Rattus norvegicus: one gene and its partners. Each later gene encodes a partner of the first gene's protein in a complex. Links are inferred from orthologs where the notes say so. Each region holds a gene or a part of one and is shown in the gene's direction. Other genes may lie near its edges.

Evidence for each region.
Region 2: Snrpd2 (region 1) and Sf3b5 share a complex: the UniProt entries of both Homo sapiens proteins name them as parts of the minor spliceosome. The link is inferred for Rattus norvegicus from reciprocal best matches to the Homo sapiens genes SNRPD2 and SF3B5.
Region 3: Snrpd2 (region 1) and Rbm48 share a complex: the UniProt entries of both Homo sapiens proteins name them as parts of the minor spliceosome. The link is inferred for Rattus norvegicus from reciprocal best matches to the Homo sapiens genes SNRPD2 and RBM48.
Region 4: Snrpd2 (region 1) and Prpf4 share a complex: the UniProt entries of both Homo sapiens proteins name them as parts of the U4/U6-U5 tri-snRNP complex. The link is inferred for Rattus norvegicus from reciprocal best matches to the Homo sapiens genes SNRPD2 and PRPF4.
Region 5: Snrpd2 (region 1) and Prpf3 share a complex: the UniProt entries of both Homo sapiens proteins name them as parts of the U4/U6-U5 tri-snRNP complex. The link is inferred for Rattus norvegicus from reciprocal best matches to the Homo sapiens genes SNRPD2 and PRPF3.
Region 6: Snrpd2 (region 1) and Srrm1 share a complex: the UniProt entries of both Homo sapiens proteins name them as parts of the minor spliceosome. The link is inferred for Rattus norvegicus from reciprocal best matches to the Homo sapiens genes SNRPD2 and SRRM1.
Region 7: Snrpd2 (region 1) and Strap share a complex: the UniProt entries of both Homo sapiens proteins name them as parts of the SMN-Sm complex. The link is inferred for Rattus norvegicus from reciprocal best matches to the Homo sapiens genes SNRPD2 and STRAP.

What each region holds. Positions count from the first base shown.
Region 1 is NC_086019.1:87,925,070-87,929,208, forward strand, and holds the start of Snrpd2 (small nuclear ribonucleoprotein Sm D2), read left to right. Parts: upstream 1-1,339; 5' UTR 1,340-1,413; coding exon 1,414-1,415; intron 1,416-2,704; coding exon 2,705-2,884; intron 2,885-3,908; coding exon 3,909-4,083; 3' UTR 4,084-4,139. Other genes in the region: Qpctl (glutaminyl-peptide cyclotransferase-like protein), read right to left, coding at 1-44, 506-715. UniProt on the Homo sapiens protein: Plays a role in pre-mRNA splicing as a core component of the spliceosomal U1, U2, U4 and U5 small nuclear ribonucleoproteins (snRNPs), the building blocks of the spliceosome.
Region 2 is NC_086019.1:9,175,920-9,178,401, forward strand, and holds Sf3b5 (splicing factor 3B subunit 5), read left to right. Parts: upstream 1-1,269; 5' UTR 1,270-1,414; coding exon 1,415-1,675; 3' UTR 1,676-1,982; downstream 1,983-2,482. UniProt on the Homo sapiens protein: Component of the 17S U2 SnRNP complex of the spliceosome, a large ribonucleoprotein complex that removes introns from transcribed pre-mRNAs.
Region 3 is NC_086022.1:31,512,506-31,516,726, forward strand, and holds the start of Rbm48 (RNA-binding protein 48), read left to right. Parts: upstream 1-1,421; coding exon 1,422-1,532; intron 1,533-2,016; coding exon 2,017-2,207; intron 2,208-4,212; coding exon 4,213-4,221. Other genes in the region: peroxisomal ATPase PEX1, read right to left, coding at 979-1,107. UniProt on the Homo sapiens protein: As a component of the minor spliceosome, involved in the splicing of U12-type introns in pre-mRNAs.
Region 4 is NC_086023.1:80,885,511-80,887,722, forward strand, and holds part of Prpf4 (U4/U6 small nuclear ribonucleoprotein Prp4), read left to right. Parts: intron 1-1,785; coding exon 1,786-1,908; intron 1,909-2,023; coding exon 2,024-2,131; intron 2,132-2,209; coding exon 2,210-2,212. UniProt on the Homo sapiens protein: Plays a role in pre-mRNA splicing as component of the U4/U6-U5 tri-snRNP complex that is involved in spliceosome assembly, and as component of the precatalytic spliceosome (spliceosome B complex).
Region 5 is NC_086020.1:186,089,628-186,093,904, reverse strand, and holds the start of Prpf3 (U4/U6 small nuclear ribonucleoprotein Prp3), read left to right. Parts: upstream 1-1,477; 5' UTR 1,478-1,587; intron 1,588-3,764; 5' UTR 3,765-3,812; coding exon 3,813-3,957; intron 3,958-4,277. UniProt on the Homo sapiens protein: Plays a role in pre-mRNA splicing as component of the U4/U6-U5 tri-snRNP complex that is involved in spliceosome assembly, and as component of the precatalytic spliceosome (spliceosome B complex).
Region 6 is NC_086023.1:152,858,437-152,861,936, reverse strand, and holds part of Srrm1 (serine/arginine repetitive matrix protein 1), read left to right. Parts: intron 1-3; coding exon of another isoform or gene 4-41; intron 42-530; coding exon 531-805; intron 806-3,500. UniProt on the Homo sapiens protein: Part of pre- and post-splicing multiprotein mRNP complexes. As a component of the minor spliceosome, involved in the splicing of U12-type introns in pre-mRNAs. Involved in numerous pre-mRNA processing events.
Region 7 is NC_086022.1:172,383,825-172,387,324, forward strand, and holds part of Strap (serine-threonine kinase receptor-associated protein), read left to right. Parts: intron 1-2,938; coding exon 2,939-3,075; intron 3,076-3,500. UniProt on the Homo sapiens protein: The SMN complex catalyzes the assembly of small nuclear ribonucleoproteins (snRNPs), the building blocks of the spliceosome, and thereby plays an important role in the splicing of cellular pre-mRNAs.

The sequences.
Region 1 (4,139 bases):
ACAAGCCGCAGCTTGGCTTCTGAAAGGCTTCCGATCAGCGGGACCTTGGTTGGGAAATGGGATGGGGGAAAGAAAAATGAAAAAGATCCCATTCCCAACTTATCCCGGACGCGGTTGCCCACTAGGAATGCTGATTCTTCTTGGTGATGCAGTCTCCAGCATCCAAAGATTTCCTAGATTGGGAGAAATCTTCAAAGCAAATCTGATCCAGCCTACTGCAGTCCTGACGAAGAAATTGCAAACGGGTGATGGAGACTTCTAAATAAATGGTTTGGGCACAGAGCTCAGATCTACCAGTGTTTCTATGCGGATGCATCCTCTTCAGAGGGGTCTAATCATAAAACAAGCCTGAAACCTTATTTTGTTGGGAAGGGGCATACGCTCAAGTGATGGATAAAGAAATAGCACAGGCGGCAAGGGCTAAACGATAAGGCCACGCTAACCCGAGACTCAATATGAAGGGAAAGAGGGAAATGACGCTGGCTGGGCCCCAGCCAAGGCTTACCCGCAGATCCCGGCTCCGTGATACCTCCTCAACCCCAGGGTGCCAGCTATTCCAGACGATATAAAAAGCCAAGCCCAGGGCCAGCGCCAGCAGCAGCAGGGGCAGGAGCTGCACCCGCGGCAGAAGACGGCGCTTGGAAAGTGAGGGTGGTTTCATGAGGCCGCGATCCCCGAGCCGCTGCCGAGACCGCCCGCGGCTGGCCGGACTCATGGCAGCTTTGCCCTGAAACCAATCCCCCCGCAGGGTGGTTTGAGTTTAGGCCAAGATTCGCCTCTCGGAGGTTACAAATGCCAATAAAGAAACACAGTAACTGCGTCCTCCCCCAATCGATTGCGATTGGCTCTCCTAAGCGCCGCACCACCCAAAAGGGAGCGCGGAAACCTTAAGGCCCGCCCCCACGGGAGAGAAACAGGCAATGAGCTGTGTCCGAATATACGAAACCTTCCCCGGCGCGGGGCCACGCCCCTTACGGAAGTCGATCAAGAAACTGTGGTTCAAGGAAAAAGGGGCGGCATCCATCCCTAAAACAAGGAACCGATTGGTTTGCCTGAAGCCATGCCCTCAAGAAAATTGTCGGCGGGTATTTTGGAAACCGGGTTGCGTTTTCCTTCTCCCAACTAGACAGTTAGGCGGGAAAACAATTTCAGTCAGACCCCGTTTTATTTTCCGCATGAGCAGACAACCTATTGTGATCCTCAGAGGCTTCAAATCCTCCCTATAGGCATTTTCTGCAGGAGAGCGTAGCCTTAGAGTCACTATGGTAACAGGGCACGCCCACAGTCGTGATTGCGCAGGCGTCGACGGAAGTCAGCCGCAGGAGACGGAAGTCCCGCCCTTCTCTTGCTGTGCTCCAAAGGCTAAAGCAACGCGCTTGGAGGCGGGAGTGATCTGCTAGCGAAACCTTCACCATGTGAGGCCGGGACGGGCTTCGGCGGGGACACGAAGATGGAGGGGGACGGTTTAGCTAAATAACAATCGAAATGGGGTGCTCATAGCTGAGGGTAGAGTTTCTCGGGCAAAAATAATGTCTTCTGAGGGATTTGAGAACGGGCATGGGGCCTCGGTTCTTGAGTTCCGGAGAGGGGACAGCTTTATTCCATAATGGGTGTAAGACTCTTCTAGGTACCGAGGCTTGCGGAAATGAACCGTAAAGGAAAAACTGAGTCTGATGGCACATGCCTAGAATCCCAAGCCTAGAGAGGCTGAGTCAGGAGTATCGCTAGTTGGTGGTCAGCCTTGACCAGCTTCATAGCGTGTCCGCTTACAAAAGTAATAGTAATTTTATATAGAAGTGGTCTTAATGGATGAAGAGCTTGGCGGAGAAGGAAGTACTATTAGAAATAGTAAATAGAGACGTATGGGACTTAACCAGGATAAATTAGGACTTTTGAACCTAATTAGAGATTGTCAGAGTAGCAGGCTACTACAATGGTTTATTCATTGAGCGGATATTATGTAGACTGTAAGTTAGACACATGGTAAATAGAAGGTCCTTGCTACCAAGGAAAAAAAATCTCTCAGGGCTTATAAAAAGAATCCAATAGGAAAGCCATAGAGTAATAAACAAGTACATACAGTATGTCTTAGATGATCAGGAGTGTGAATGGAGAATTGAGTAGGAAAGAAATAACACCAGTAGGTAGCACAGAAGTATTGGGCATTGAAAGCCCAATACTTGGGCTGGGGATTTAGCTTAGTGGACAGAGTACTTACCTACTGTGGGCCCTGGGTTTGGTCCTCAGCCACACACAGACTAGATGTAACCCCAGTATCCTGGAGGCAGAGACAGACAAGTCTGAGTTCCAGGGGCAGGTCTATTTATACAGGGAGACACTGTTGTGGGGTGGGATGGAAGAGAAATGGCCAAATTTTTGGACATATCATGGAAGCAGATGACAAGATAAGACGACAGAGTGAGGTTTGAAAGAATCAGGTGCCAGGCATGATGGTGAGCCCCCTGTAATCTCAGACCTTGGGTGATGGAGTCAGGAGAATTGAGAATTCAAGGTCAACAGTGGCTGGACGAGGTTTGGTTAATGAGCTGGAGCAGGCTAACTTGGAAATGTCTCTCCTGCCTCCAGAGAAGACTGTACCAGGAAGGGCATTTGGGGGCCAGGCTGGGGAGACACTGGACAATGTAGCTTTGGTCACTTATGCTTCCAACCTGAACCCGTCTCACCCCCCGGGTTCTCTATCCAGGAGTCTCCTCAATAAACCCAAGAGTGAGATGACCCCAGAGGAGCTGCAGAAGCGGGAGGAGGAGGAATTCAACACAGGTCCCCTCTCGGTGCTCACACAGTCGGTCAAAAACAACACGCAAGTGCTCATTAACTGTCGAAACAACAAGAAGCTCCTGGGCCGGGTGAAGGCCTTTGACAGGTGGGCATTGTCTTGGGGAAGGTCATTTGAGAAGAATTGTCGTAATAAGGTGGGCAAGGTGACAAAGTGCCTTTAGTCTCAGCACTCAAGGGGATCACTGTCAGTTGGAGCCAGCCAGGGTCACAGGGCAAGACCCAGCTAGCTCAAAAAATTAGAAAGTGGGGGTGCTTGGCTTTTTTTTTTTTATCTTATGTGTTTGGGCGTTTTGTCTGCGGGTGAGTCTGTCTGTGTACTGTGGACATGTCTAATACCTTCAGAAGTCATCAGATCCCCGGCAGGAGGAGGGACAGGAATTAAGATGTTTGGTTTGTTCCTCTGTAGGCCAGACATCAATGTCAAATATCTTCTACTGCTTTCTAGTTTGTTTTGAGGCAGGGTCTTTAACTATGTAGCCTGGGCTGGCTACAGATGTAGCAGAGGCTAACCTTATGCTTCTGATCCTCTTGCTACCATCTCCCAAGCGCTAGGATTACAGGGGCGAAGCATACCCTCCTGCCTTGTTTTAGTTAGCATGGAAGTTGCCTTGTGACGTGGTCCTACACATCTGGCATTGTACTTTGCTCATCGTCACTGTCCTCAAGCAAGCATTCGTGGAATGAACTGATCCAAGTGTGAGCACATGTCCACCTGCATGAGGACAGGGCCATGAGGCACTGGAGTGCACGTGTTGGGAACCATGTCTAACCCCAGAACTTAAGGTTTGGAGGGAGCTAATGCTTCTCTCAGAGTTAGAGTTAACTGCAGAGCCAGGGCCATTTTGGTGACCTTTACTGTGTACCGGGGTCCTAAGTGCTTCTTTCATCCAATCTTCACATCAGCCCCATGAAGTAGACTGTTTCCATTTCAAGAAGGGGGAAACTGAGGCACAGAAGGGACACTTAAGATGGGGCTGAGATCACACCTTGAAGCCTGCCCATCCCCACTGTGGAACCTGAACTCCGTCCCTATGCCTGCTGCTGGAGGGTTCACACATTCAGAATGTCCCCCTCACTCTGGCTTTTTCCTCCACCCTTTACCCCATCAGGCACTGCAACATGGTGCTGGAAAATGTGAAGGAGATGTGGACTGAGGTCCCCAAGAGCGGCAAGGGCAAGAAGAAGTCCAAGCCTGTCAACAAGGACCGCTACATCTCCAAGATGTTCCTGCGCGGGGACTCAGTCATTGTGGTGCTGCGGAACCCGCTCATCGCTGGCAAGTAAACTAGAGGCCAGCCTCAGCCCGCTGAGAGCCTGCTCCCTGCCCAGCCAAGTCCCGC
Region 2 (2,482 bases), about 79 Mb from region 1:
CTCCTGGAACTCAGAGAGCCACCTGCCTCTGCCTCTAAAATGCTGGGATTAAAGATGTGTGCTGCCGGGGTTGGGGGATATAGCTCAGTGGGAGAGCGGCAAGGCCCTGGGTTCGGTCCCCAGCTCCGAAAAAAAGAAAAAAAAAAAAAAGATGTGTGCTGCCACCACCTGGCAAGATGCTTTATGACAAAGTTTAGACAGAAGAATAAATATTAGATGGAGTTGCACAAGTCTCTAGTCTCAGGAGTCAGGAGGATTGCTGTGAGCTCAGGGACAAAACTTCGCCTCCCCCCTCTTACATCAAATAAACAAAAGTACCCCCAAACTCCTGTATTTTCAATTTGTCTGTCATCATCCATCCTCTCTGGCTATGATTGCTCTTACCCCATTCTTAAGATTTTTTTTTTTTTTTGAGAATACAATCTTCATCACGCTATTCGCATATCCTCAGGGAGTACCATGAAAGAAGTACAATTATCTTTTTCTGAGTAGTTTGTACCATGCGAGAAAGTGCACAACCCCCAACATAAGGCAGAAATCAGCAGAAAAACACAAGATGAAGAGAAAGAGGTTTCTTGTCTCGAGCCATATCCGACTTCAAGGAATAGCCTATGAATGACCTTAAAGAGGGGTTGTTTGCCCAAGGCCACAGAGCCTAGGTGGGTTGAGAAACTGGCGCCTGGAACTCCTTAGGGAAGCCATTAATGAGACTACCAGTGCTGACACTGATCAACAAGCAGCTAGCGAGAGTCAAAAAACAAAACAAAACAAAACAAAAAAAAAAAAAAAAACAACAAAAAAAAACTTTTCCCGGTACCCAAATCCTAAGAGACAAAACTTGGGCCAAGGCGGAACCATGCCACCATGTTAACTTCTAGGTACAAGAGTTAGTTTTCCTCGTTGCTCATACTGTTGTGTTGCGGCAGTATGAGATTTCAATGACAGTGGGATTATGAAACCCACGTAGGTTTCTCCTTCTTTGTAGCCCGGAGCCGTGGGATGAAGCTTCGAGGTTTTTGGACATTGTCCTATATAAGCCAGGCAAAACCCCTCAAAAACAATCTAAGACAAACTCTTTGGACTACATGTCCCAGAATGCAACGCGAGGGTTAGAACGTGATCACCCAAGAGCCACTAAGAGGACCATCATGCAACGCTCTTCGAAGTAGGCGGGCTCCGTGAGGAGACGGCCCACTGTTTCCTAGGCAACCCCAATCCCGCAACAGACTTTATTTCCCCTTCCGCCTAGGAAAAGAAAGTACTCCTGCGACTGCGTGTCGTCTTTCTCCTGCGCCAGCACGAATAGAGCTTTTGTGCGGCGGCAGCGGCGGCGGCGTCTCTCTGATTTGAACGCCGAACAGCGGTAGCTTCTCATCTGTGGCCTGACCTCGAAGCCTAAGAACAGAGCGGCGAGATGACGGACCGGTACACCATCCACAGCCAGCTCGAGCATCTGCAGTCCAAGTACATCGGCACGGGCCACGCCGACACCACCAAGTGGGAATGGCTTGTGAACCAGCATCGGGATTCCTACTGCTCCTACATGGGTCACTTCGACCTCCTCAACTACTTCGCCATTGCTGAGAATGAGAGCAAAGCGCGCGTGCGTTTCAACCTGATGGAGAAAATGCTGCAGCCCAGCGGGCCGCCGGCGGACAAGCCGGAGGAGAACTGAGGCGAGCGCTTCCCAGCCTTCCCCATCTGCCATCTGTGGACCGATCCTCCTGACTCCTGCTTCTCGACCATTCTCCGTTGGGTGTATCGCCTGACCTGCTTACCTGTGGACGGTTCCGAACAAGTCATCGAGAGACTGTCGGGTCTCCTGGGAGCTGTGCGGAAGGAGTGATCCCAGAATCGGCAAGCGAGGGAGAAGACTGCCTGGGAGTGATGACGCATTCCGAGTCAGCTTTTCGATAGTTGATGTCGTTCTCGCCTTTTTTTTTTTTAAATATATATCATACATAAAGTTAGGATTTGTTATATCTTTTGGTTTGAATTGCTGTGTTCTTTGGGAGGTATTTGGAGAGAGTTCTGTGGATCAAGATTTCGTGAGAATATGACTAGAAAACGGGGGCGGAAGCACAGGGCAAGCGTTTATTGACAAGTACTTTAGTTGTCACACACACTTTTATGATCTTCCCTCACCTCGATTTTCTTCATGCCTACAGTGTGTCTGGTACCAAGGAAACCTTCAAGCATGGAGTTTTTCCACATTCCTTCCCACCCATTTCTAGTCTTTGCTGTCATTAACCTCACTTCCCTTTATGCTGCAGCCCCCTCCCCCCTTTCTTGGTAATTAGTTTGTGTGTCTTCAGAAATGACAAACTGGCAAACAATGGTGTCCTGTCCCGACCCTGCTCCACCTCTCCCCATTCAGTTTTCACCAGAGCATTTTCCAAAGGTTTGAGGACATACATTATGCCGGCCAGTTTGGAAGCAGATATGCTAAACTAGTCAAGAGTTAGAAGATGGAGGGGGATGG
Region 3 (4,221 bases), on another chromosome or scaffold:
TTTTCTAAACTCATGGAGTGGTGAATTTATTCCTATAAACTCATTAATTTGGGATTTGAAAGTACATTGAAAATCTCCATCAGAAATGACAGGGAACAGTGAACTAAGCTGGAATTTGGTGACAGTGACTGATTCCTTTTAGCCAACAGAAAGCGAACTAGACAGTTAAAGAATATTTAATATTTGGTGAAGACAAACTAATTAACAATAGGAATAATTCCGATGAAATTGGTGTGTTTTGATAGGCGGACTGTAAAAGCAAGATAAATCAAAGAGGAAATAAAGGTGGAATACAAGTCATTTCAAACTCTTGGATATTTCTTTTATGAGCCAGTATTCCGCTACCAAGCACCTAGGACTTTAGATTTCAAATAGTCTAACCCCATGAATACACTCAAACTAGAGAGTCTGTGCTCACTCTTAATAAAACATGGAGGCTGTCTCTCCACCGATGGAGTAATCCTGGCTTCGCAGGTGAAAGTACGAGGTGTGAATAATTCCATTGCCTTGTCACCCCCCCACCCCTTGTGGTGTCCGAAGTCCTCCTAAGCAGGGAGAGCTGTCACTTTATTAACCTTTGGCACAGGTTGGAAACCTTGGTAATCTACCAATCAAGTCTGCCACTCAATGCTTCTATGGCTGCACTGGCAACTTGTTGGCAGGATAACGCTTTAGCAAAACCAGTAAGAGCTCTCTAGAGCTTTCCATCCTAGAGTGAGGACCGCTTCTGAATGCTGAGGCAGAACCCTAGTATGTTCAGTCTGGTTTAACCGAGTTAAAAGGGTGCCCAGTAGGGTCTGGGGATGCACTAGTCGGGGTGTAGGTGCACACACTGCCTCCCCACGCCATGCCCGCAGAGGGCCCTCGCTCACGCCTCAGTGCGGGTTCGGTGGCAAACACTGTCCGGACCGGGAAAGGTGTCAGCGAACACTAGTCCCACAAGACATCGATGGTGTCCGCGTCCGGTCATCGCGTTACCTGCAGCAGGTGAAGCTGGGCCACGAGGTGCCGTGGCAGATGGAGGAAGCAGTCCCGAGCATTCGTGAAGGCCACCGTCACGACCGCCCCACCAGACCCCGCACCGGCTAAGCGATCACTGCTCCACATTGTCCCAAGGTTCAACTCTCGCCGGAGAGCCGAGTCCGCCGGCTTCCCGTCAGGCCAGGGCGTCGGAGCCCGAGAACATCGATCGGGGCCGCCCCCCTCTTCACTCGCCTGACCGCTGTCACTCTCGGATCGCTCCTCCGAGGCTCTAGGGGGCGGCACATCGCTCGTCGAAGTCTCGCTCTCCGGAAACAATCGTCGATGGGGTCGATCCTCCAGCCAATCCTAACACGCTTGGCCCATACTGCTCTCTCATTGGACACAAAGGAGCACCGCTGGCGGATGTTGTTCTGGCGCGGGGGCTTGAAGCCGGCAAGATGGCCTCCAGTGACGGGAAACCCGGTGGCATATTCGACCACCACGTCCAGACAGCTGTGTGTGACTCGCGGGCCAAATACAGGGAGGGCCGACGCCCTCGCGCGGTCAAGGTAGAGTGACTTGGGTTCCTTCTCTCTCCTCGGCAGGAGCATTAACTTCCTGTCAGCACTAGCTCTCCATGGCCTGCCTCCATAAAGGCACGGCAGGGATGCTGTCAAGTCCATCTCTCAGTGGAGGGGGCACGAGGAACAAAGTTTATCGCTGTTGTCGGTTTACTGCTTACTCCACGATTTTTAGCTTTGCATCCTATAATACAAGGACAAGGTCTCACAGGACAAGCCCTGTTAAGTGACTGTTTACATTAGCTTCTCTGGGGTCAACTTTGGGAAAAGACGTCTGTTTAGTCAGATACCCTTATGTGGAGTGTGTTATTCTTTAGGCAGAAAGAGTGACAGTTTTGTGTGTATGTTTTGCAGACCATATTGAGCAGAGTATTTCTTGTTTTCAAAGCTCCATTTAAAAGAGGGATGGGAAGACAGATTTGCCATAGGCTTGTTTGAAGAGTACGTTTAACGGGCTCTCCCCCGACTTTAGGTATATACCATCAATTTGGAGTCTCAGTACTTACTAATACAAGGAGTTCCTGCAGTGGGAGCCATGAAGGAATTAGTTGAGAGATTTGCTCTCTATGGTGCGATTGAACAGTATAATGCTCTAGATGAATACCCAGCAGAAGATTTTACAGAAGTTTATCTCATTAAATTTGTGAAATTACAAAGTGCAAGGTATGTACAAGTTAAGCAGAACTCGCGTCTTCTATTCCTGTTGCCGTCATTTCGGCCTCAGGATTTCCCAAACAGACCCAAATCACATGAGCACTTCTCACTCTCAGTCTTCCTGATTTGGGGGTTGGGGAGCAGGGTTTATTTGAATAGCTTTAGCTGTGCTGGAATTAGTTCGATAGACCAGGCTGGCCTTGAACTCAAAGAACCCTTTGTCTCTGCCTCCCGAGTGTTGGGTCCAAAGGTGTGCAACACCCCATCTCGCCTTCTGGTTTAGTTTTTACCAGGCCTCACATATGCAGTCAGTCACTCTAACAGTGAATGATATCCCAGCTCTTCCTTCTGATGTTCGAAAGGCTGACTTTACAACACTTTTCCCATCCTGTGCTTGATGGTTTCTGAACCTGGAGTGTGGTAGATTTGGGAGATGAGGAATTACATTTGAAGCACATTTCCAGTCCTATGGCTTCCTGACTTTGGAGAATTTTATTCCTGCCAAGCACATTTTTTTTTCTTTTCCTAAAATCCACAGGGCAAAAAGGTCTACTTCTTGAGGTTCACTGAGGAAGGATGAAATGAAACAATTTATGTAAAAGGATTAGACTGGTACCTCCTATTAAGAGTAAATATTAGAGCCAGGCAGTGGTGGCACAGGCCTTTAATCCTAGCACCTGGGAGGCAGAGGCAGGTAGATTGAGGTCGAGGCCAGCCTTGTCTACAGAGCTAATTGCAGGACAGCCAGAGCTACCCAGAGAAACTGTGTCTCCAAAAAAACAAACAAACAAACAAAAAAAACCAAAAAACAAAAACAAAAAGTAAATATTAGTAATGACAGTTCTTATTAGTATGGTTCTATGTTAATCAACCTTGTATTCCAATAAGACTGAAGTCAACAATGCTTTATTTTATGTTAACCCTTTGGGTGGGGGAGTGTGTGACTGTAGGTGGGTGCACGCCTGCGTGTGTAAAACTTGCTATGTAGGCCAGCTGACTAGAACTCAACTTCCTCCTGAATCTGCCTCCCCATCCCCACCAGGTTTAAAGACATGTACCACTACAGTGTACTCTACCCTATGTTTTGAGACGAGACCCTTATTGAAACTAGAACTCATGGCTAGATTGGTTGGCCATCAGGCTCCAGTGGTCTTACCTTCTCTATCTCGCCAGCACAGGGATTATAGGCACAGTACGGTGCCTAGTTTTTATGTGCACGCTAGGGATCTGAGCCTAGCTACTCAAGCTTAAACAAGTACTTTTTCAACTGAGCAGTCTCCCTAGCTCATGTTAGCCATTTTTTCTTTTTAATCATTAACATGATCTAAACCATATCCTTCTCTGGCTTTTGCCATTTATAAATGTTTTGGTGGAAAAGGGCTTCAAATCCTCTGGCACTGGAGTTACAGGTGGTTGTAAGCTATCCAAAATGGGTCTGGGATTTGAATCTACTCTTCCCAAAATCAGCAAGTGCTCTTATCACCCACCTAATTATCCCTCCAGCCCCTGTGTTTCTTTTGTTCGCTACTCCTAGTCCACCACAAAATCACTTGACTTCAAAAGGCCATGTGCCTTTTCTTACCAAGTGGGCAACTCTTCGTGGTATAGAGAGCAGATTCTCTAGCGCCTTGTATCTCTACAGACCCTGATACAGTTGGCTTTGGAGTCAGCCATCTGAGTTGAATCCTAGTTTTATAGATGAATGTATGTGACCCAGAATTTCCCGGTGCCTTGGTTTTACCATGAGATGGTTATGAGATGTCAATTTAAGTGGCACACTTGTGGCTTTGCATGGAGTAATCGCTCAATAAACATTAATCATTATCTGTAGATACAGAAGTACTTAATTACTTACAGTGCTTGGTTCAGCATAGGTGTTCAGCATTTCTTTTTTAAACATTATTATTTCTCTTATTTTTATGTGTATGTGGCGTGGCTATTTGTTAATTGTTTTTGAACCATGTAACTTATGCATTTCTTTAGCATTCTCTTTAAGTTATGCATTTCTTTTTAGGATAGCTAA
Region 4 (2,212 bases), on another chromosome or scaffold:
AACAACCTATGACTTGATTGCGTTCATTCTGCCTGTTTATACCCATTAGTGTTGTTGAGTTGTAGTGTGTTGTGTGTCTGAGCCACGGTTTATGCATCCTCCCGTTGATGGACATGTGGGCATGTTTCTAGGTTGTGGCCAGTCAAGATAAAACTACTGTAAACACCCTTTTTTCATGTTTTGTGTATGAGTTTTTTGCCTGCGTCCAGAAAAAGGGCATCAGATTAGAGTTACGCATGATTGTGAGCTGCTGTGTGGGTCCTGGGACTTGGGTCCTCTGGAATAACATCCTGTGCCATCTATAAATACCCTTATTGAAGCTTTTTGTAGATATAGTGGTTGTCTTTCCCTTGCTCTTAGATAGTTACAATATAATTGCTAGTTTGTGGAGTGGTGGTGTATAGAGTAGATGTATGTTAGCTTTTAAAGGATTTGGGCAAGCTGGATTCAGTGCCATATGCTTACAGTCCCAACACTCAGCACAAGGGCCTCACAACTGAGGCCAGTCTGGGCTTCATAGTGAGACGCTGTTCCCCAGAATAAAATCTTAGAAACAGCTGGGCTCCACCCACTCTGGTTTGTAGCTGTGTCGGTGTCTGCTGTTGCCAGTCGTACTGTTTTGCCCACAGTAGAGCACACAGTAATACCTCATGTCAGTGTCCCACCCTGATGGCGTTGCACTTATTTTGCCACATGCTCACACATCTTGCACATCTTTAGTGCAGGCTCCAATTGCTTTGCCCTTCCTGAGTTTATCTGTTCTGTATTTGTACTACCAAAACCTGTTTGCAACCATCCTTTAAGATTTTCATTAAAATTCCTTTTGCACCTTTAATGAGAACATTCTGATTGTACACATTCGGGTCTATTTCTAGATCTGCTCTATTTGTCCTTTCTTTCTTTAATGCCCAAATTTCAATTGAGTCTCCAGTAAATACACAAATGCCTGATGATGAGTGAAGGAGTGCAGCAGAGGAATGAGGGGGAGGCAGTGCCATCTTTGCTGGGCCATTCTTCAAGAAGTTTGTTTTTGTTTTGTGCTCGTGGCCGAACCCAGGGCCCTGCACATACCAGGCAAGACCTCCCTACTATTGAGCTCCAACCCCAATCCAGGGAATTTGTTTTTTAAAGAATACCCACTAAAGTACAGAATGTTCATGGTCTCCCAACTGTCAACTAAAACAGACTCTTGGACGGTGAGGCATTGCTCATGTCAGAAAGACCTACCTACCTTCCTTCCTTCCTTCCTTCCTTCTTTCCTTCCTTCCTCTCTCTCTCCTTCCTTCCTTCCTTTTCCTTCCCTTCTCTTCCCCTTCCTTCCTTACTTCCTTTCTTTCCTTTTTTTAGGATACAATTGCCCCGCCTTTAGATTTATTTAGTAGTGTTCTATGTGCATATATGCCTGCACACCAGAAGAGGGCACCAGATTTTATTATAGATGGTTGTGAGCCACTATGTGGTTGCTGGAAATCATGCTCAGGACCTTTGGAAGAGCAGTCTGCTTTTGTCCTCAGCCGTCCCCCTCCAGCCTGGCAGCTCTTGGTAGTATGGTTGACCAGCGGCGAGCTAAGCTATGGTTATCTATAGTTCCTTGTCATAGACACTTTTTTTTTTCTTTTTCTTTTTTTTCGGAGCTGGGGACCGAACCCAGGGCCTTGCATTTGCCAGGCAAGCACTCTACCACTGAGCTAAATCCCCAACCCCTTGTCATAGACACTTAATCTGCTGATTTATCGTTGGTATAATTTTGGTAAGTTGGAAAATTTATTCTTATTTATTTTTAAGTTATGACCGTTCATGGCGCTTATGGGATTTAGAGGCTCAAGAGGAGATTCTACACCAGGAAGGCCACAGCATGGGTGTGTATGACATTGCCTTCCATCAAGATGGCTCTTTGGCTGGCACTGGGTAAGATTTCCTCCACAAAGCAAGGGAAGGGCAGCTTAGTAGTCTCACCTCTTAGGCAACCCCGCTTTCTTGTCACACTGTATTCCATATGTTCACACAAATGTTGTCTCCTCAGGGGACTGGATGCCTTTGGCCGAGTTTGGGACCTACGCACAGGACGCTGCATTATGTTCCTAGAAGGCCATCTGAAGGAGATCTACGGGATAAGTTTCTCCCCCAATGGGTAAAGCAGACTCAGTGAGTGGGAAGGGTCCAGGTCAGACAGCACTCTATGTTTCTAACTGATGCATCTGATCCACAGCTA
Region 5 (4,277 bases), on another chromosome or scaffold:
CTGAGTTGACAAGGTCTTTCCTTAGGTACCTGACATGTAGGTGTTACCTCCCACTCTGCAGATGCAACCACTGAGATGATTACTGTCATCTGCCACCACGCCCAGCCAAATGGCAGAAGTTTTCCATGTCCAGTTGACTTTGTTGCTCTTGTTTTTGGTGTAACATCTAAGAATTCATTGCCAAATCCAATGCCATGAAGACAAACCCTGTTTTCTTCTAAGAGTTTTTGTTTGCTTTGTTGTTGTTTCAAGATGGTTTCTCAGGGTTGCCCTGGTTTTCCTGGAACTCACTCTGTAGACCAGGCTGGCCCCAGATTCAGAGATCTGCCTGCCTTTCTCTAAATGCTGGAATTAAGGACTATACACCACCACTATGCCAAAAACTGACTTTTACAGATTACATGTATTTATGTACCTTGTGTGTGTGCGCACACACCACAGTCACCTGAGGGAGTCAGAGGACATCTTTCAGGAATCGGTTCTCTCCTTCTACCTTGTGGGTCCTGAGCATTGAACTCAGGCTGCAAGAATTGGTGGCAAGCACCTTTACCCACTGAGCCATCTTACCAACCCCAACAGAAACTAGAACTAGAAGAAATATGCGGTAGACTCATTAGAAAGTGAAGTTGTTTCCTAGTAAGATGGAAATTAGAATTTTCCAATAGCATGAAGGTTTTTAAAAAAAAGATTTATATATATATATGTATATATATATATATATATATATATACATATATATATATAGTCGCTATCTTCAGACATACCAGAAGAAGGCATCAAATCCCATTACAGATGGTTGTGAGCCACCATGTGGTTGCTGGGAATTGAACTCAGGACCTCTGGAAGAATAGTCAGTGCTCTTAACCACTGAGCCATCTCTCCAGCTCTATCATGAAGGTTTTACTTTTTTTTTTTTAATTTTATGTGAATACACTCTCGCTGTCTTCAGACACACGAGAAGAGGGCATTGGATCCCATTACAGATGGTTGTGAGCCACCATGTGGTTGCTGGGAATTGAACTCAGGACCTCTGGAAGAGCAGTCAATGCTCTTAACCGCTGAGCCATCTCTCCAGCTCAATTTTTTTTTTTTTTCTTTTTTTCCGGGGCTGGGGACCGAACCCAGGACCTTGCGCTTCCTAGGCAAGCGCTCTACCACTGAGCCAAATCCCCAACCCCTAATATTTTTTTTGTTTGTTTTTACTATAAAGGACACTTTGAGTACGAATGTGGATGTCCTTGCTTTTAGTTCTAGCAATAAGGTTAGCGCACTAACTCTTGACCCAAGGGAATGTGCTGCCAAACGACTTCTGCTCCCGGCAATCAGGACTGGACTAACGTTGGCTTTGCTCCGCGGCAAGTCAGCGAGCGGACTTAAGCTTTAGGATCCCGCCGCGCGTGCGCCCGGCCGCCGGCACCTTGATACCGCGGCTGCGCGGCTCAGGTCCCGCCTTCTCAAGTCACGTGTTATAGGGACCGCAGCGTGGCGGTGGCTCTGGCGGTAGCGACGGCGGGCCATAGGGCAACCGGAAGGTTTCCGGTTCCGGTGTAACGTTCGGGCTCCGTCTCAGGGGCTGAAGTTTGTGAGGTGAGTAGTGGCCCTGCGCCCGAGAGGATAGCCTTCGGTCCGAGCGGCTGGACAGGGCGGGAGTGTTCGGCGGGAAGCAGGCTGAGAGGAACCCCGGGTTCTGTTGGGGGACGGAATCAGAATGGGCTTGCTGAAGGAAAAGGGCGGGGGCGGGAAGGAGCAGGGTGGGCAGACCTGCTCTGAGGTGAGGAGTTAGGTCGGACTCGGTTGAAGCGGGGGCCAGTTGGAAAGATAGTAAAGAGGGAGCATGGGGGACTCAGGGGCTTGTAGCTTAGAAAAGTAAGGAATTCCTTCAGAAGATGAGAGTCTGCTTTCTGCTCATTCAGAAGACAGCCTTCTGCCTTCCTCCCGTTCCCCTCTACCCCCCAGGCCCACACCGACACTGACGCCTCCTCGCTATTATAGTTATTTGGTTGGTGACAACTGTAGTGATTGGAACTTTCTTATCCATTGACTGCTTCGTTTGCACATTCGGGTCGAATTTGAAGACATCTATTTGTCAGTATATTGCCTGGGCTCACATCCAGTCTTCTAGTGTTTCACCTATTACTTTGGATTTTGAAAATTGCTTAAACTTTCCAGTCTATTACTCAATTGTAGTGGGTCGTAAGTTTCATTAACACGAGGATTCTTGGCTGTTTTGTTCACTGCTGTATGTGTCTTTACATGCAGTAAGTATTCTGCTTAACAAGTAATAGGAACTTAAGTATTTACTGAATGGAGTGTTATGTCAGATGTTCCCACTTTCTAAGATGAGTATCCTGAGGCTCTGGTGATTAACTTGCTTACCTAAGGGCTTATAAATGGTAGTGCTTACTATATCCTCTCTTCAGTGGGCTTTCTTCTCCACCTTTAGTGCCTGTGTTTGCTTTCTTTTTGATAGGCAGTATACTGCTATCTCATGATGGCCCAAAAAGCAATCCCAGGATTATTCATAAGACTTGTCACTGAGGAACAGCCTTTCAGCTTCATTCAGGTGTATTAAATACTGTGCATTGATAGATCTTCTGAGAGATAAGTCTGTCAATTGTAGGAGCTAATTAGACTGCATCTTTTTGTTTTATGACAAGGTCTCATATAGCCAAGAGTTGACATTGAACTCCGTAGACAAGGCTGGACTTGAACTCCTGATTCCCCTTGTGCTGGGATCACAGACTTGTATGGTCATTTGAGGTGGCATCTTTTAGATGTCTTTAAACACCTTGAAAGAGTCATTTCCCAGATCGCACTACGATACAGGGCAGTGCTAAGAGGAGGTCAGCTGGGAAGTTAAGGTCAATTGACTGACATACAGCCATTGGGAAGAAAATCAGAAATTAAGTTAACTTTATGCTGGTGAAGATGTTTGAGATTTAAGAGTACCCAAATGTAAGCATGAATAGTGTTGAAATTTTACACCAATTTGCATTAAGTAATAAAGAATCATTTTGGCATATAGAATGCTTACAACCATGAATAAATCTACAGAGAAATGACAGCATTCTTAAAGATTATGAGATTTAACAGGAGGACTGACTTGAATAAAACCTCTTATTTGTATCCATTAAAGATGTTTTAGGTCAAAGCCGGGTTAGAGAATGCCTTCCAGAGTAGACGTAATAGTAAGGTTGACTTCTAGATTGACTCTTCAGATGTTCTGTTTGCCTATCCTTTATATGACAGAGTCAGAAGTTAGAACCCATTCCTCAGATTAGGTTATTCCTAGTTTGTTTATTCTTCAGATAGTGTTGATGACTGATGCTGAGTTAGAATCAAAATATCAAATGAGTGGGGCATGGTGGTATGCTCCCGGAATTCCTCACTAGGTAAGTGGAGGAGAATTGCCAAGTGTTGAGTTCTGCATGAGCTACATTGTAAGACCCTATCTCAAAACTCAGAAAAGCTGGGGCTGGGGATTTAGCTCAGTGGTAGAGCGCTTACCTAGGAAGCGCAAGGCCCTGGGTTCGGTCCCCAGCTCTGAAAAAAAAAGAACCAAAAAAAAAAAAAAAAAAACTCAGAAAAGCTAATGGAACCCTTTCCTCCTGTTTTGAAGCTTGGTTTTAGGGAAAGTATTCTCCATATCAAATGGAGAGACATGCCTAGGGGTTGAAAATAGGAGTGGGGAAAGCACCCTTATTATACTGTTATCTTGATTGCTTTGTTTTCCTTTTCTCTGACTCTTGCTTGGTTTCTTTTAGGTGTAGTACTTTGTCCGATTTGAGCTCTTAGTCTCTGTTTCCTCCAAAATGGCACTGTCTAAGCGGGAACTGGATGAGCTGAAACCATGGATAGAGAAGACAGTGAAGAGAGTGCTGGGTTTCTCAGAGCCCACGGTGGTCACAGCGGCATTGAACTGTGTGGGGAAGGGCATGGACAAAAAGAAGGCGGCTGGTGTGTACCTCTCTGACTCTTCTGACTTAACAAGTATATTGATTCCAAACACTAATTTGAAACTGCCCCAGGTTGTTCCTATTGGAGCATCAAAGGAAAGGTGGGGCTAGCCCCTTCTCCTTTTGTTGTTGTTTTCTTGTTTTGTTTTTTTGAGACAAGGTTTCCTCTGTAGCGATGTCTGGCCTGAAACTCAGATATCCACCTGCCTCTGCTTCCTGAGTGCTGGGATTAAAAGCACACACCACTCCCTCCTCCCCCTTTTTTATTAAAAGACAGGGTCTCATGGATCCCGGCCTGGCTTCCAGCTCACTAGCCGAGGA
Region 6 (3,500 bases), on another chromosome or scaffold:
CAGGTTCTCAGGAATTCTTCTGCCAAAGGTGAATTCTGCAGGTACACGTAATTGCAACAGAACTTAACCACAGATTTTGCTGCAGAATTCGAGAGGCCCCTACTTCTAAGTTTATGTAGCTAAATGAATTTCAAATCTTGCACATATTTTTTAGTGAAACTTAAAAGCTGCTAGACATCACTCTGAATGAACAATACTCTCTCCCTCTCACTGTCTCTGTCTCTCACCCTCAAAGTTGTGCAAACTCCATAACCCCAGTATTCCCTTCTGGAAGGGGCTGCTTGGTTACTGGATTATAGCATTCATAGCTCAAACACAATCAGGAGTTATGTGTTTTACTCTCAGAGATAGCTGTTTCCTGTCCTAGGTTATGGTTTTGTTTCCAATATTTTTGAAGTAATTTATGTACTTAGCTACATAAACTCAAAAGTTGGATTAAAAGAACTAGCTGTGTTTCTGTGCATATTGTACATACTGTGAAGTCACTCTTCAAAGGGACGCAGGTAGTGAAGTGAGTGCTTTTTCCACAGAAGGAGACGTTCTTCCGCATCGCTGTCTGGAAGTAGCTCGTCGTCCTCTTCATCTCGTTCCCGGTCACCGCCAAAGAAGCCTCCCAAGAGGACATCCAGCCCTCCTCGGAAAACTCGTAGGTTATCACCTTCGGCAAGTCCTCCGAGGCGAAGGCACCGGCCGTCATCTCCAGCAACTCCGCCACCCAAAACTCGCCATTCCCCAACTCCCCAGCAGTCAAACCGTGCAAGAAAAAGTCGTGTGTCTGTGTCTCCAGGAAGAACCTCGGGTAAAGGTACAAACACAACGCACTTTGTTCCCTTTGGCATCTGGGTGAGCCCACTTGTACCTACCTTCCACCAGAATAGGCTGGGCAGTACTTTCTATGTGACACTGAATGGGCTTGGCTGAAATGGGACAATATGTAAAGATGCTTTTTTTCCTCATTGTCCTCTATGCACAGGTGGCACAGATCATAGCTCGGTTGAGGCTGTTTGAGTGGGGTAACAAATTGAAGCGTGTGTTCTTACTGTAAAGGTTCGTTTTATTGAGACCGATCAGTTAACTATTTTCCACCCTCCCTCCCCACACCTCTGCTTAAGGCTTTTGTTTAATATCTTATTTGCAGACTTTGTGTCTGTTGTTATTTTTGGTCACAGTTATGCTCCCAGGGGAAGGACATGGTGTCCCCTTCAAGGTTGATTTGCTTTATTTCTTTGATTGATTTATGGATTTACAATCTAAGATGATGTCCCTACTCTGTTCAGTAGATTGGTTTCTGAAGAACTGGAGGCCTGTGGTTGTGCCAGCCAAAGTAGAGTGTGTATTAGTCAGTGTGGAAACTGGTTTGCTGGGGTTTGCTTTATTTAGCACTAAGCACACGTGAAGAAAAGGGAGAGGATCCATTCCGGTGGTGCCTTTGGTGCTAGGGCTGGAGAAATAGGGGCAGCCTGAAAGGTGAGTGGAGGGGGGGTGAGAGGGTTGGGGTTTTCGAGAGTGGTGTTCTGAGCCCACTGACTGCCCAAAGTGCCTGGATAACAAGGGAGCACCACAAGGCCTAGTCAAGCTGTGCGTTCCACCTGTTCCACCGAGGGATAGCTGTGGGAAGAGAACCTGCTAAAAATGGCAAACCATAAAAACTAAAGTACAGATCATTACTTAATTTTAACATCAAGTTCATTCAGTAACCAAATGTGTGATATTTAACTATTTTTTAGCATGCGTTGTATTAATTTTATATAAAAATGAGCACATTTCAGCCTCTCTTTGAGTCCATCACCATGTCCTAATCTAGTACTCATTGCTCTCGCTCACTTGTCTTTCCTATGACATTTACACGCATAAACATTTCTTGTGTTTAGAGCTAGAAAGCTCTCTGAAGAAAAAAACTGTTCAGAGTTCCCACAATTATTTTGGAAAATACATTTTTTTTTTCATTTAGATTATATAGAAGTTATTTTATTCTACCTGAACTGAAGGAGTTAACTATTAAAATATGGCCATTGTTGGAACTTATTAGTTACCGACTTATGAGCCTGCACAGGTGCCAGGCTCCTGCTCTGATGTGGGCCTTGCACACGTGTCATAGATAACTGCATTCAGGAGACACGGTTGTGGGCAGCGGGACCTGTTGTGTGTTCTTGTAGGCTTGAGGCAAGGAGCAGCCTCTTTAACCAGACAGTTACACTGTGGGCAGTTTAGTCTGTTTTATGTCCACTGAAGCTCTAAATAGGTTTGAGCTCTGTGGATGTGACCGTAGTGTTGAGATTTGACAGCTACAGAAGACCACAGTAGTCAGGTTCTTTGATCGAGTGACTTAGCCACAGTTAGTAAGAGTTTAAGTGTCCATTCCTGTTACTGCGCAGTGAGAATTGCTGAGTTGCTGCTCCACTGAGGGATGTCTCTGGTGACTAGGGAGGAAGATGGAGGGTGGAATGAGGAAGTTGTTTGGCTTCTCCACTAGGTACTGTGATCAGAAATGCCCACGTTGGGGTCTCTGGGTACTTAGGGCAGGGGCACTCCTATAGTGTGGAGTTCCTGAGGAGATGTTAGCTGGCCATCTTAGGATCTGTTGTTGATAATGGGCTAATGAACTAGGAGTAAGGAGAGAAGAGCAGTGGGATTTGGTGGTCAGTCATTGAGCACAGTTCACAGTCCCTTCTGAGGGTGTTTTGAAGCAACTTTGAATCAGTCATGATCTGAGTACTGCATGAACTTGTTCTGAGTCAAGTGTCCTGCCACAGCTTGTCCCTTTTAAATCAGCTAAATTGTGCTCTGTGAATGCTTCATGTATTTTCCTATGTGACAAGTTATCTTTTGGGCAATCTGAGATTAATAATTAATAGGACTGTTGAAATGTTTTAAGATTCTGGTTTTAGAGTTGGTCTCGGATTTCTGACTTCATGCTAGAATGATTTGTTCTTTGAATTATTAAAACACTATTAACATAACAGTAAAAGGAAAAATCTCATTTAGAAAAATACAGAAAATGTTACTTGTAGTAATGCTTTTATCTCAAGGGTTAAAGGATAAAGCGTATGCTGTAAATAGTACTAAAGACTTACTGAGACATTGAGTCAGGATGAACTTTCCCATGTGTTTATTCACACTTTTTTAACAAAATATGTAATGTTGGCTCCATGTGACAGTGCACCCCACCCCTGTCCCCCTGAAACAGTTTCTCTGTGTAGCCCTGGCTGTGCTGGAACTCTGTAGACCCGGCTGGCTTTAGAGCTCCTCCTGCCTCTCTCTGCCTCTCTCTGCCTCTGCCTCCACCTCCCAAGTACTGGGATTATAAAGGTGCTCCACCACCATCCGCTGAGGGCGCAGTTCTTTTTTTTTTTCATTCCAGTATTACATAGCCAGTTTGAGGCCAGATCTTGTCTCGATATATAAAAGCAGTGTTACAGTTTAGTTATTTTATTCCGTAACTAACATGCACCAATTTATCCTGTAGGGATAACCACTACATTTTCTTACAGCCAAACAAG
Region 7 (3,500 bases), on another chromosome or scaffold:
CAGAAAGTTGCATGATTCTTTTAAAGGCAGATTAATACCTGTGCTGTGTAACTCAGACAGAGGGAAGTGCTCCCACTCCTCTTAGCACCTGTCTCTTAGGTTGAGCATACTGTAATCAGGAATTAGCAAATTTTAGCTACCTAGGATATTTATTGGCATATTTTATATTGTTTTTTATCAAAGGAGCCATTGGCAAGGTGTTGTATATTCCTTACTATGTAGAAATTACTGATACTGTTTTCTTTTTTCTAATTAAAATTTTAAAGAGACAAGGTCTAGGGATACAGCTCAGTGAGAGTGCTTGTCTCGCATGGATTAGGAACCTGGGTTTGAATCCCTAGAATCTAAAAGCAGGGAGGGAAGTAATGCAAACCCATTCATTGTGTGTGCATGTATGTGCATGCTTTGGTTTTTTTTTTTTTTTTTTCTTTTAATTATTAGGACTATGATGCATATAATCTTGTTTTTTAATTAAAAGTGTTTTTATCCATTAAAACACCTTTAAAACATTTTTATTGGTTGTAGTGCATTAAATTGTAAGAGCTTATGTTTCAGTGCCCTGAGCAGTGTAGCTGGTATTGTGCTATATCTTTGTTCTCAGTACTGGAATCCTGTAAGTACAATGTTGAGTTCAGCTGTAGAACTGACTGTGCACTTCTTAGCCTTGGTATTTAAAGGGTTTCTGTAAAGATTAGACCACATTCCCCTCTGACAGTAGTCTTATGATATGGTCTTGAAGAATACCACAGTGTTTAGCTTCATTGAATAGGGGACAAAAAATGACACGGAAGCTCTAAAACATGTAAGAGAGCTCCTATAAACACAAGAAGGCTATTAGTGGAATACTTTTACACAGATCGTGAGATTGTGCAACTGTAACCGTTCATCTCTGGACCGTGCATTCCTGCTCTAGACTGTTGCCTCAGATCTCATTTGGTAGTCACTGGCCCGTTGAATATTTGAAATACCGAGGGCTGGTCTGTAATGCTAGATACAGCACAGCCAACTTTAGGGTTTGTGTGTTTGTTTTTTTTCCAAGACAGGATTTCTCTGCATATCCTTGGCTGTTGTGGAACTCTGTATAGACCAGGCTGGCCTTGAACTCAGTTTTACCTGTTTCTGCCTCTTGAGTGCTGGGTGGGGTTAAAGTTAGACGCCACCATGCCTGGCTATTTATATGCGGTGTGTGTTGATTGATGATCTATGTTGAAATAATTTTCAGGATTGAACTGAAAAGGGCTGTAAAGAATAGATAGGGTTTTTTTTTAGGGGAAGTAGTTGTGCATTGATAAATACAGTTTCATTATAATGCAACTAATTAATCTTAGTTATTGCTGGGAAGAGACACCATGGCCAAGGCACTTACAAAAGGAAGCATTTAAGTGGGAGCTTTTGGAGGCTTACATTTACAGAGCATAAGTCTGTGGCCATCATAGCAGGAGGCAGGCTGGCATGGCGTCGAAGCAGTGGATGAGAGCCTGTATCTGAGCCACAAGCTGGAGCTGACACAGCTAACCAGACTGGATCTGCCAGGGGCTCGTGAACTCCGCTCACTCCCCAGTGACACACCCTGAACCATCCTAATCCTTCTCAAACTAGTCTAACTGGGAACCAGGCAAAAGACTACAGGCTTCATTCTCCCTCAGACCAGCACAGGGCCTTCCCTCCCTGGTTAGAAACAGCTGCTGAGAGCAGTGGTAGGTGTTGCAGGAGGAGCCTGAAGCCTGCACCTCGCACCCTGCACAATTGAGAAGACATTTAACATCCCTTTGTACTGTAGTGATTCCTACTGTAAAATATTGCTCTTGTTTACCTTTGTCAGTGTCGAGCTAAGCAAATGCCTTGTCCCTGACTTTTGATTTTTCTTTTTTTTTTCGGAGGTGGGGACTGAACCCAGGGCCTTGTGCTTGCTACCACTCTGCTAAATCCCCAACCCCTCTTTTTTTTTTTTTTTTTTTTTTTTTTTTTTTAAAGCAGGGTTTTAAGGGTGCTCTTCATCATGTATCTCTGGCTGGGTTCTTTTTTCTTTAGCCTCTTGAGTGCTGGTATGCAGATGCGTGCCACTGCTCAGCCTGTATGACCTTTTTGTATTTACTAAAATAATGCATGTTTATAGAGAAAAATAGAGTGAAATTTTTCAGAAGAAAATGAACTAATCAGGCATTGTCACTGCTCTAAGTGGTGGAGCTTGGGAGAATGGAGGTGACAAAGGAGGTGGGTTAAAGTCTCATGCAATAGCCAACTTTATTCAGAGCATCAGACAGTTTATATCCACTGAGGGTAAAGAGAGAGGCATCTTAAGAGCTTAACCTGTACAGTCACAAGGCTAGTTACATGTAATTGAGTAACAACAGCAAGTACTAGTAAGTAATCTGAAGTGAGGACTTTCCTACCCCCTGCACAGGAGGAGCATAAATCATTCCAACAGCTACTCCATGCTTTAAAGAAACTGAGGTCAGGAGACTCCAGTTTTCTTGAAGAGTTCTCACAAGCATGCAGAATTCTCACAGAACTCCATTCCTGGACTGAGTTCCAGCATGGCATGATGTTCATCTCTAAACCTGAGCCCAGTAACAGTTAAGGCGAGGAGGATCTCAAGTTGAAGGCCTTTCTGGACTCCGTACTGATTCTGTCTCAAAAACAATACAAGGTCCCAAATACGGTTTATCAGCCAAGACATTGATCAGAAAAGTGGCTCCTGCTCAGAATATGGAGTTCCCACTACTAAATGTCTTCCTGAGATGAGGTCCATTAGGGTATAACAATATAACAATCTTAAGTCATATACACCTAACTGAATCTCTATTTACTGTGTATTGGGTTTCAGAATTCAGGAATAATTTTTTAGGATTAATTTTAATATGGCTAGATAGTTATTTATGCAGTGTTAAAAATTTTGTAGACATTTATGTTTTTGTGTTCTTTCCTTCACACACAGTCTGGAGCCAATTAAATCCTTTGAAGCTCCTGCAACCATCAATTCTGCATCTCTTCATCCTGAGAAGGAATTTCTTGTTGCTGGTGGAGAAGACTTTAAACTGTATAAGTATGATTATAATAGTGGAGAGGAATTAGGTGAGTCTCATTCTCTCCCCTTAATCAGGTATCTCCCTCCACCTGTGGGTCCTGACCCCTTCTAGGGATGTGTGTGTCTCAAATGACTCTTTCACAGGGATTGCTGAAGACCATTGGAAAACACAGGTATTATGATTCATAACAGTAGCAAAGTTTTAGTTCGACGTAGTAACAAAAATAATTTTATGGTTGGTGGAGGTCACTACACCACCACAGCTGTGTTAAAGGGTTGCAGCATTAGGCAGGTTGAGAGCCACTGCCTTAAATAATTTACTATCAAAATATTATGAATGCCTTAGGTATTTACGTATGGTTTGTTGAAAGTAAGTTTTCCAGCTAACTAAAACTGGAAACTCATACCTTCAAAAACAAAGGTGTTATCCATTTTTGATAGAAATACAGACCCTCTGACAAGACTGAACTCA